Linked DNA regions of Drosophila melanogaster. The protein of the gene in region 1 purifies or fractionates together with the protein of each later gene. This does not show direct contact. Each region holds a gene or a part of one and is shown on either strand. Other genes may lie near its edges.

What was found.
Region 2: the proteins of CG9436 (region 1) and cbt purify together in Drosophila melanogaster (affinity purification with mass spectrometry, with the first as the bait; one large-scale study listed by BioGRID). This does not show direct contact.

Annotation. Positions count from the first base shown.
Region 1 is NT_033778.4:6,756,763-6,760,995, forward strand, and holds CG9436 (uncharacterized protein), read right to left. Parts: upstream 2,142-4,233; 5' UTR 2,010-2,141; coding exon 1,074-2,009; 3' UTR 839-1,073; downstream 1-838. Other genes in the region: CG3420 (uncharacterized protein), read right to left, coding at 1-95, 158-205.
Region 2 is NT_033779.5:475,900-481,771, reverse strand, and holds cbt (cabut), read left to right. Parts: upstream 1-2,083; 5' UTR 2,084-2,296; coding exon 2,297-2,365; exon of another isoform or gene 2,366-3,567; coding exon 3,568-4,785; 3' UTR 4,786-5,326; downstream 5,327-5,872.

The DNA of each region.
Region 1 (4,233 bases):
TCCTTTTGCAGAACGGCCGTTTGCTTATCCTCGAGCAGGTTACTGGGAATTGTTTTGGCCGAGTCCACCGGTTTTGCGCTGGAACTGTAGCATGCCTGCATGGGAGTAATGCCTTGAAATCAGGGGGTGATCTATCTTGGCTATGGGGGATGCCTACCTTGAGCAACCAGGATGCCCCCAGGTTCCGTCTTAGTATCATTGACATTCTAACGCTAATTTATTTTTGTTCTCTTTATTTAAGCTGATGATTGCAGTGTCGAAAGTATCGATATGTTGTCATCGGTGGTGATGGTGTTGCAAGGTCGTACCACTACTTTTACCAAGCTCAAATGGGCTCATTGAGAGTATGGATAGATACTGCTTTAATTTACATCTAAAAGTTCACAAATATATGTCTCTTCTGGTAGCGAGAAAGAAAAAATGTTGCAGATTTTCAAACTGGGCAGTGCTGCCAGACCGCCCCAGCTGAATGCACAGTGGTGCAAAACGTTCGGGCTGAATGTTAATGTTATCGGCAGTCACTCCTATCGATGCTCTATCTGCCGTTATCGCTGCCCAAGGTCGCCAATTTAAAATTTGATTTCAGAATTCCGGAATCTGTTCAGCTGATAAGCAGAGATATGATTCCGATGCGCCTGGAAATGTCTCTCCTCGTTTGGAGGTATTTTAGCGTCTATCGCAGACATTCATCTTAATGAAAGCTCGTTATGTGCCCCATACTTGACTAGGGAATTCTGAGTTCCGACCGACGGGTGCACACGCCGAATTCTCGCAGATAACACGATTTATCAAGCGGCCCCGTTAGACAAACTGATTAGCCCGACAGCCCAGAGATCTTCTACGTAATATACTTTATTTTACAATACAAATACTACATATGCGGGGTGTCTTACGAACCTCTTCCAGTAAAATATTAAGGGGAATTAATGCACGGGTTTACTCGAAACCTTTTTAACTTTGAGTTAACAACTAAAACAAAACACCCCTCTTGGAATGCCACAGTCGTTTTGTTTGCATTCCTAGCCAATCCAATAACGGCGAAACCGATATTTCTGGGACACCCCTGAGCCCGTCTAGAACTCGTCGTTGAACGGGTAGTACTTATGGCCCGACATTCCCGAAAAGGGTACCGTGCGCTGCCCGGTGTGATACTGCTCCATGCCGGCGACGTCGTCTGGACTCAGCTCGAAGTCGAAGACGCGGAAGTTCTCCTCGATGCGGGCCTTGTTCGACGACTTGGGCAGTGGCACCACGCCTAGCTGGACCAGATAACGCAGGCAGATCTGTGCCGTGGTGCGGCCGTACTTCTTGGCCAGATTCTGGGCATGCTCGTCGTAGAGGAAGGGCGGCCACTGCCGAGCGGGCTGGGGACGTGCCAGGGGGCAGTAGGCGCAGATGACCAGTCCGTGGCGCTTGGCATGCTCCCGGAGCTGGCGCTGCTGAAAGCCTGGGTGGCACTCCACCTGGTTCACTACCGGCCGGATGCGGCAGTTGGCTAGCACTCGCTCCGTCTGCGCGGCGTTGAAGTTGGACAGGCCGATGCTGCGCGTCAGGCCCAGATCCACCAGCTTCTCCATCTCGCGCCAGGTGTCCAGATAGTCCACGTCCGTCAGCTCCAGGGTTCCGTGCACGTTGCTGTCATTGTGGAACTTCTGGCCCACCGGCATGTGCATCAGGTAGAGGTCTACGTATTCCAAACCCAGGTTGCTAAGGCTCAGGCGGCAGGCGCGCTCCACCAATGCAGGGTCGTGGTGGATTCCGCCTAGCTTGGTGGTCACGAAAACCTCCTCGCGTGTGACCACTCCCTCGGCGATCTTCTCGGAGATCGCCTGGCCCACCTCAGCCTCGTTCTCGTAGACGAAGGCGGTGTCCAGGTGCCGGTAGCCCACGTCGAGGGCGTGGCGCGTTGAGTGGTAGGCGTCCGACTCGAACGACTTCCAGGTGCCAAGGCCCAGAGTTGGCATCTCGCGCCCGTTGTTCAGCCGGATGGTGGGAGCCAGATTGGTCATCTTGTCGCTGGCGCTGATAATTAACGCTGTGCAAATTGGACGCTTCTAAGTCTAAACCAGTGCTACTACGCCTTTCTCGCGATCAAATCTCTATCTGTTCCAGCTCGTCGAAAGCTTCGCGGACAACTGTTGGCTCGCACAGCCGGTTTCGATGATTTTGTCACGGCGGCCGAGCAGCTGCTGTGTCATCCGGTGACGTCACGGACAACGCGCGGTTATTCCCACCAGCGTTGCCAAGCTGGCCTTTTCCCACTACATCTAGCGTTTTTCAAAAGCTCAGCGGGGGAGGAATTGCGATCTAAAATCTGGCGCGATGTATAAAAATATTTCAAGGTACGCACACAAGTAAGCTTAATTTTAACGTTTAAAAACATAAGAACGACATTAATTGAATTGTATAGCATACCAGCTATGCGAGGTTTTCTCCAATTGCTGAATCGATCGCGAGTGTATGGCAGTGTTGTGTCCAGCAGCGACTAGCGGGAATTATTCAAAGCAGATTTTTAAGACAAATTTGAATTAAAATCAAATGCCGTAAAGAGCAGATAAGGTGAGAGTAAATCAAACGTCTAATATCATGGACCAACTCCATCCGAAAAAAGCCCAAGTAGGGGGCGGTTTACATAGATGGAATTTAGAAAAGATCAAGACAGAAGAGTTGGCGGGAAAACGAGCAGGTAATTGTTTGGCTAACACAAGTCCAGGAGTGGTCATCTCTAAATGCTTAGACCTGATGGGATAGGAACTTAAATTAGTTTGAATAAAATTTTGTTTTAAAGCCCTTACGTGTATAAATTAAACCAAAAACTCAAAGCATTTTTAAAATATCACAGATTGAACTCCGATTCCATATTGCCCAAAACTATAAAGAACAGTTAAGCTTTCAAAAATAATATAGCGCCCTCTGAATACAAATAAAAAAAACCAGTAGCAGCTTGCTAACACATAAATCTTTATTCGAATATTAGTTGAGTTCAAAATGTTAGACATTCAAAGATATATTTTGTTACGCTTAGGTTCAACATTTAGGGTATTGAAATATCTGCTCTGCATTGCACAAATCTCACTTCGGGGTATGGGTTTTCTGGTTATTAGAATATGTAATTGGTAGTACGGCTAAAAGATCGCTGCTTCTGCTGTACATACCATAATCGATGGATTAATTACTTCTAAGTGGTTGTTGGTGTTGTCTTCTTACTGTGAGCTCTGTGAGCCGTCTCGTCATCCCCATTACGAACTATTTAATCTACTTTGCTATTTGGTAGGTAAGTAAACTTCGAGATTGTTTTGCGTTAGACATGTAAACACTGATTTGAACATTTATTGGTTAGAACAAGTTACGGCTCAAACATTTACTGACTGATTACGACTGATTGGCTTTAGCTATATCCTGTTAACGGAGGTATATACGTATAGCATGAATATATCTTTTTTGTGCATCAGTGAGTTACCCAATGATGTTGAATTTATGCAAGTGCCTAGGCTATATTGGAGAAAATAAAAGTTCGTAGAGTTATGTTTTGAGATTGTCAAATCGAATCACAAGTGAAATTGGAAATTTTCCCTTTTGGAGTACTTGCATATTTGATATATGTACTATATAGTATGCAAAGTGTATTATTGAAAGTGCACAACAATAACAATAGTGGTGGTGTATTGTTGGTATTACGTCTACATATGTAGCAGTACTAAAAATGTAGAAACATTTTTGGTTTTGACACGTAAGGAGTTTCCGTTGTGGGAAACGATTTCTTAACACTAAAATAGTTTCTACGGTCCATATGCTAGATTAATGCATCTGCTAGATAAATATTCCTAGGTATGTGTACTTTTCTTGTGCCATTAGCACCAAAGAGTTGGCTTATTTCGAATATTTCCTCAGAGGATTGTAAGATTGCGTTGGGTTTAAAACGCCTACACAATTCTATGTGAGTGATTCTGATAGATTCTACCCGTTTCCGTAGCACGTGGTGTAGATAAAGTAATTAATGGCTTTCCAACTCTACTTACAAACTGTACCATACTAAAATTGGTGTTGCGTTGCTTGTAAATCAATTCGAAATTGTTACATCTCATTAACTATGAACTAAAGAATATTGTTTCGTTTGAATCGGTTCGTTATATCTATAAAAGTATTATTGAATATTCGTTTGCATTTGCTTTGTTTTATTTTTGAAGGAGAAACCACTGGATTATAGTTGAATATATTGTTTGATTTTGATTG
Region 2 (5,872 bases), on another chromosome or scaffold:
CAAGTCAAGGGAACTGAACTTGAACCCGCCGGGGAGCCGAGATATACGTCTATTTTTAGATCTAACCTGCGGCTGCTGATTGTGTTCAGCCTCCGCAATGCACATGAATTCCCGCTTGATGGATTTGCGAGGACTGGAGGAGCTGGCCGGTGGGGAGCTTCAACTGCGCCGCAGTTTGCATTCAAAATGCGGGGGGTGGGGCGCAATGGAGAGGGGTGCGGTAACGGTATATCGGCCCATTTACACGCCCACATTCGCGAGAGAGTGGAGGCCATCGCTTCAAGTTCCGCGCAAAATTTACACACGAATTCCGATTCCAATCACAAACACGAAGCAAAGACAAAAACAAAAACGCAAGTACTGCAAACCCCCACACGCACACAAGCGCACAGATAGGCACGCCACAGACTGCTGGCATTTTCGCCTCGTCTCACTCGCACTCACTCACTCGTCCGCTCAGGCAAAGTATCAACAAATGTTCACGTGAACATCATGAGGTCAACGCGTGATACCAGACGGACCCACACAGACACTCACGCACACCATAAAACACGCAGGCGAGCTGTTCAGCCGTCAAGAAGGTTATTTTCGAGGGGTCCACTTGGGCATACCCTCTAAAAGCGGCGATAAAGCAGTAGGAGACGGATGGAATGACATTAATTTAGTAACGACAAATATAAAATTTCTTTTTAGGGAATGTGAAGAAAAATAAAACTTAAACTTTTCAGAGATCTGCATCTAATCTAGCTGCTCCCATGCTACCCCTGAATACCCTACACGGCCTGAACAGTCGCCCCACAAGTCTGGTGTGGGGTATGGCGTGCTAGTTATTCGTTGTTGTTGCGCAAGAGAGCGCCAATAACCACAGCTGTTTCTGCCGCTCGCTCTTTGGTGTGTGTGCTCTGTGTACGAGCCCCTTTTTGCTTTGAAAACTGTTACAGGCGAAACGCGAGCATTGCCAGGTAGAATTTACCCGTGTCCTAGGAGGGTTTTCAAACAAAATAAATGTAATCAATTGACGACTTAATTGAGTTACATGCATTCACTGGTGGTGAATAAGAGGATTTTGAAATGCCTGCTTTTCGTGACTCATCTTTGTTATCTCCCAGTTTCTTGGGCCTGGCAATGCTCCCCGTCAACTGTTGAGCTCCCATACTCTCCTGCTTTCGCACTATGCCTTTCGTTTATTAATGAAATCCGTGTCTGCTTAAAGTCAGACTTCCAAAGTTAATGCAAATATATGCGGCCAGGTCTTAGATTTCAGCTTGAGGGGCGTCTGCCAGGTTTCGAGCCAGTTTTAAAGTATTTTTTCAGCCGATTATTCACAGACTTCCGTGGCAACAACTACGTCAGCTACTCAGACACGGCTTTGGGGTGTGTCTGTGAGTGTGTCGGTTGGTGTGCGCTGTGCACGCGGCTGGGGCATGCACAGCCCATGAATAGACAGCCGATGGAGCCCCACACCCTCCCCAGCTCCTCCTCTACTGACCCGTTCTCTATAGCACCAAACACAAGACCCCGCAGTGAACAGCTGATGACGTCCATGCGTTGATTACGTGCTCTGCGGGCCTCTCTCCTACTGGCTGTGTGTCTGTGTCCTGCACAGAAAGAAATCGCTTCGGTGATTTTTTGGGTCTTCTCGGAAAAGATGGCAACATTTAAAATAGCCATACACTTTTAGAGAGTTTACTAAAAACGATTTGGGTTCACCTGAATCTCTTTTAACTTATTGCCAACCAACATTACAGTCTAAAATTGAGTTAACAGAGATGTCATTCTTTACGGGCTATTTTGTCCGGTGCACGTGGGTTGCTGAGAGGTGAGTGAGCAGGAGACCTGACCTTTTTCTTTTTTGCGCCCGAGAGAGAGGAGCCGAGGAGGTGCTGCCCACGTTGCTGGCTGATGTTCGTCCGGGTTACATTGCACTGGTTGCTCCACTGCCGATGACGATGGCCCGCTCACACACACTTGCCCGTTTCCAAGTGATTACGTCGTCGGCGGCTCCACTCACTCACACTTGCACAGCCTCTGCCGGCAGCGGCGTCGGCGGCGGCAGCTCTGCTGGGAGCTGAATGGCTTTGCCTTTTTCATTCGTCTCTTGAATTCCGAACGCAACGGTTCGCCTTCGCTCCAAAACGGCAAGCGGCACTTGAAAGCGCCAGTGCAAAGTTAGCTGAAGTGCAAAAATCTACACAAACTGAGATTAAACCAAGTGATTAGCCCCGGAACAAAACAAACAAACAAACACAGACTCTTCAATAAAAAAAAGAGAGTGCAACTGAAATTTGAAAGTGCAATGGACATGGATACCTTGCTACCTTCACCACCCGCAACGCCCCCACTAAGGGAAAACAAGTTGGAAATCGTAAGTGACCTACAAAGTGGATATATACAGTGTACGCTAGTGTAATTAGTGCTTATTGAGTGGGGATAGTGCATTCAAGGCAGCGGAAAATCAAACGGAATCGTACTTAGCTCGCTCTCGCTCCCACTTGCCGCGTTTCTAAAAACAAAGTGCCTCGTCCCGCTCGCACTCGCACACAGCCATGCGATCACGCAGCCAACACGCTTTCACGTGAACACCGCATGCACAGCGAGTGATGTGTGAGTGCGAGCGAGAGGCCGCAGCTGAACATTGGACTTGGCACCACTAGGAAAAAACAACAGAAAAGCAAAAGAGAGAAGGTGAGTTGCCAATTGGCAACTGTAGGCGAGCGGTGGAGTGTGAGAGGAAAGAGAGGGCCTAGCCAAAAGCTAGGCAAACAGGCCAAGCCCCAACCCATAAAACCATGTCACATTTCTGGCTCGTTTTTTATCTGGCCAAGAAAGAAACAAACAAACACTGTCGCACATTAGAGCGCAACGTGCCGAGCCCATAAAAAGATTTCGACGTCTTCGCACGAGTCATAATACACCCCTCGCATTCGCCTTCCCCATGAAATCACCCACCTGAGGCACGTCATAATAATACTGGTGGTGTGGCTGCATTTTCCTTGCATGCTTTTAGGCGCAATTTTTAAATGGTTCTAGAATATGCGCCGAAAACGCAACAGTTGCTCATGTTTTCATCCTTAAAAATTAAGTAGTGAAATTTGAAAAGTCCATATTAAGAACAGTTTTTAAAATTTTAAGACATTTTTTGTTTCTGTCAGGAGCACATCAATTTAAAGACTTTTATGTGGTCATCAATACAGTATTCACCTTTAACATTTACATACGTCTATAATTTAAAGCACAGCTGGCAGCAACAGTTAATGAGTAATATTCTGTCACCCCAAACGGCCTTTAAAAGAGTTCAAAAACCGCCAAAAACAAAGTTCCCTTGGCCTTTCGAAGGAGCATTGAACCTGGGGTTGGGCGGGGTATTGCAGGGTGTGTGAAGGTTAACGGTGAACGGCCTTGTCAGCCGCCGGCGTAATTAGCGAATTGCGAGGAAAAGTTATTGTGGGTCAATGCTGGTCAGCGAAAAGTGAATGGGACTGTGAATGTGAATGCACTCCTCAGAACATAAACTCGACAATGTTAACGAACTCTGACTAACCCTGAACTTGTTCTTTCCTTTTCCAGGTCGCCAAGGACGAACAACAGGTGAACGAGAATCTGCTAAAGGCAAAGCTCAAGCTGGTGGCCCAAAAGAGTCAGAAAAATGGAGGGATTATTACACCAAATCCATCGGACACGGAAGACGAGGCTCCCGAAATAGCGGTTCCCAACAAGAAACCCCGTTTGGAACAACCTGCTATGAGCATGACACCGCCGCCGGATCAAAAGCTGGACGATGATCAGAAAGCGGAAAGGGTTAGCGTCATCATGCGGGTCAACAGTTCTGGCGCTGTCTCTTCTAGTAGCCAAGACGAGAACTCATCTAGTTCCACCTCCTGCTGTAGTTCCTCTTCCAACACAAACACAAGTACAAGTTCAGTACCACCCACTGTGGAGGACGACTATCCAGAGGCCAATGTGTGGCGCAATCTCAAGTTCAAAATGAACAGAAAGCGTGCTGCAGAAGTGGCACTACCCCCAGTACAAACACCCGAGACACCAGTTGCGAAGCTTGTAACGCCACCTGCTCCAGCGGAATGCATCAAGGAGGAGGAAATAAAACCTATTCTGACACCGATATATGTTAGCCCAGTAGCTTCGTCTGCCAGCCAACTTATCCTGCTCAGCACAGTGGCCGCCCAACAGAGCCCCACACCCGTACCCAAAACGCCAACAATGTCCGAGGAGAAACTAACAACCAGAATTACGGCCGCCCAGGCGGCGGCCACCAGAAGTCGCATCTACGAGTGCAGTTTTCCCGATTGCGGCAAGAATTACTTCAAAAGCAGTCATCTGAAGGCCCACCAGAGGGTTCACACCGGCGAGCGACCCTTTATCTGCAAGTGGGAGAACTGTGACAAACGATTCTCCCGTTCCGATGAGTTGTCCCGACACAAACGGACCCACACCGGTGAAAAGAAATTCCAGTGCAGCGTCTGCCAGAAGAAATTCATGAGAAGCGATCACCTGTCGAAGCACGTCAAACGGCACAACAAGGACAAGGCGAACGGAGTGAATCGACATGTCTCCCTGGCCAACAACAACACATCAGCTTCGGTAGCGGCTTCCCTCTGCGATGCCTCGCTCCATTTGCGAGCGATAGCACCGGCGGGCTCCAGCGCTAGTTCCTCGCCCATCAGTTCCGCCAGCTTGCAAGTCTACAGCGCCCAAGATCTGCTGAGGCTACAGCAGCAGGCCAGCAGTTTCACCTTCGGCGGAACCCTGCTTCAAGTGCAGCGATGAGAAGAGCAATGCGAGCAGCATCAGAACCAATCTCAGCCCCACAGTATCGCCAGCTAAACAGAGATGAATTCCCACCAAATTTCAAAACAAATTAACATCTGAGTCAAATTCGAAATGCCTTCTCGCTCTCATGTAGCTGGTGTAGACTTAAGCTTAGTTAGGAGCTAGATCTTGTCACCGTTTTGTGCATATATCAACTTCAAATTCAATACGTAATACCCAAATCGGATAGATGCCACTTCTTTCCAGGAGCACACAGCACACTTCTTATCTAAGCGATCTTCTTCAGATTAATATTCTGAATATCCCTAGTGTTTGTACATACTATAAAGAGACGCATTCGGCGTCCAACATCTGTGATATTTAAGTTTTCTTAACTCTTTTCTATTGTACCATAGTTGTCAGTGTAATTCTCTTAAGCTAAAACACACACAATTGTATTTATTGCTAAATGTGAAAAAAAGAAAATGAAAACAAATAGAATAATGGATCATCGCACGATTCCAATCTCAACAAATGAAAATATACATATTTTCCAAAGAAAACTAAAGTTATTCTATGAATTGGGAGGGAAGCGTAATTGGGCAGAAGTCTATTGCGGTGACTTAATTTTTTTTTAGAATGACAAGCCCTATTCCAAATTGTTTATGCTTACCTTTTTAAAAATCTCATCCGACTGAAACAATTTGCAAAGTATGTAGCCCCATTTTGGTATTGAACTAAGTCTTGAGTGTGGAATGTTTTTTGCTTGATGAGTGGATGAGTGTGTTGTGTATATAGAAGGATGTTTCAATGCGGTGCAGCTCAATATTCTTTGAAATAATTGGTTTTATTTTATTTTAGCTATAAAAGCCATTTGTCTTATATGTTAAAATGTATTTACCCAAAACAGAGGGGCATTTTGGGAATCTAAAATGAAATTAAAATTTTCAATATCCATTGATTTAAAATTAAACAAGATATAAACTTACTAAACTTTCCACACTTTTTGCCCAGCGTAAATAGAAAAAATGTTTATAGTTGATTAGGCCGGATAGTTAGGTAAAACTTCCAACAAATATAAAAATATATCTAGAACAAAACAGAA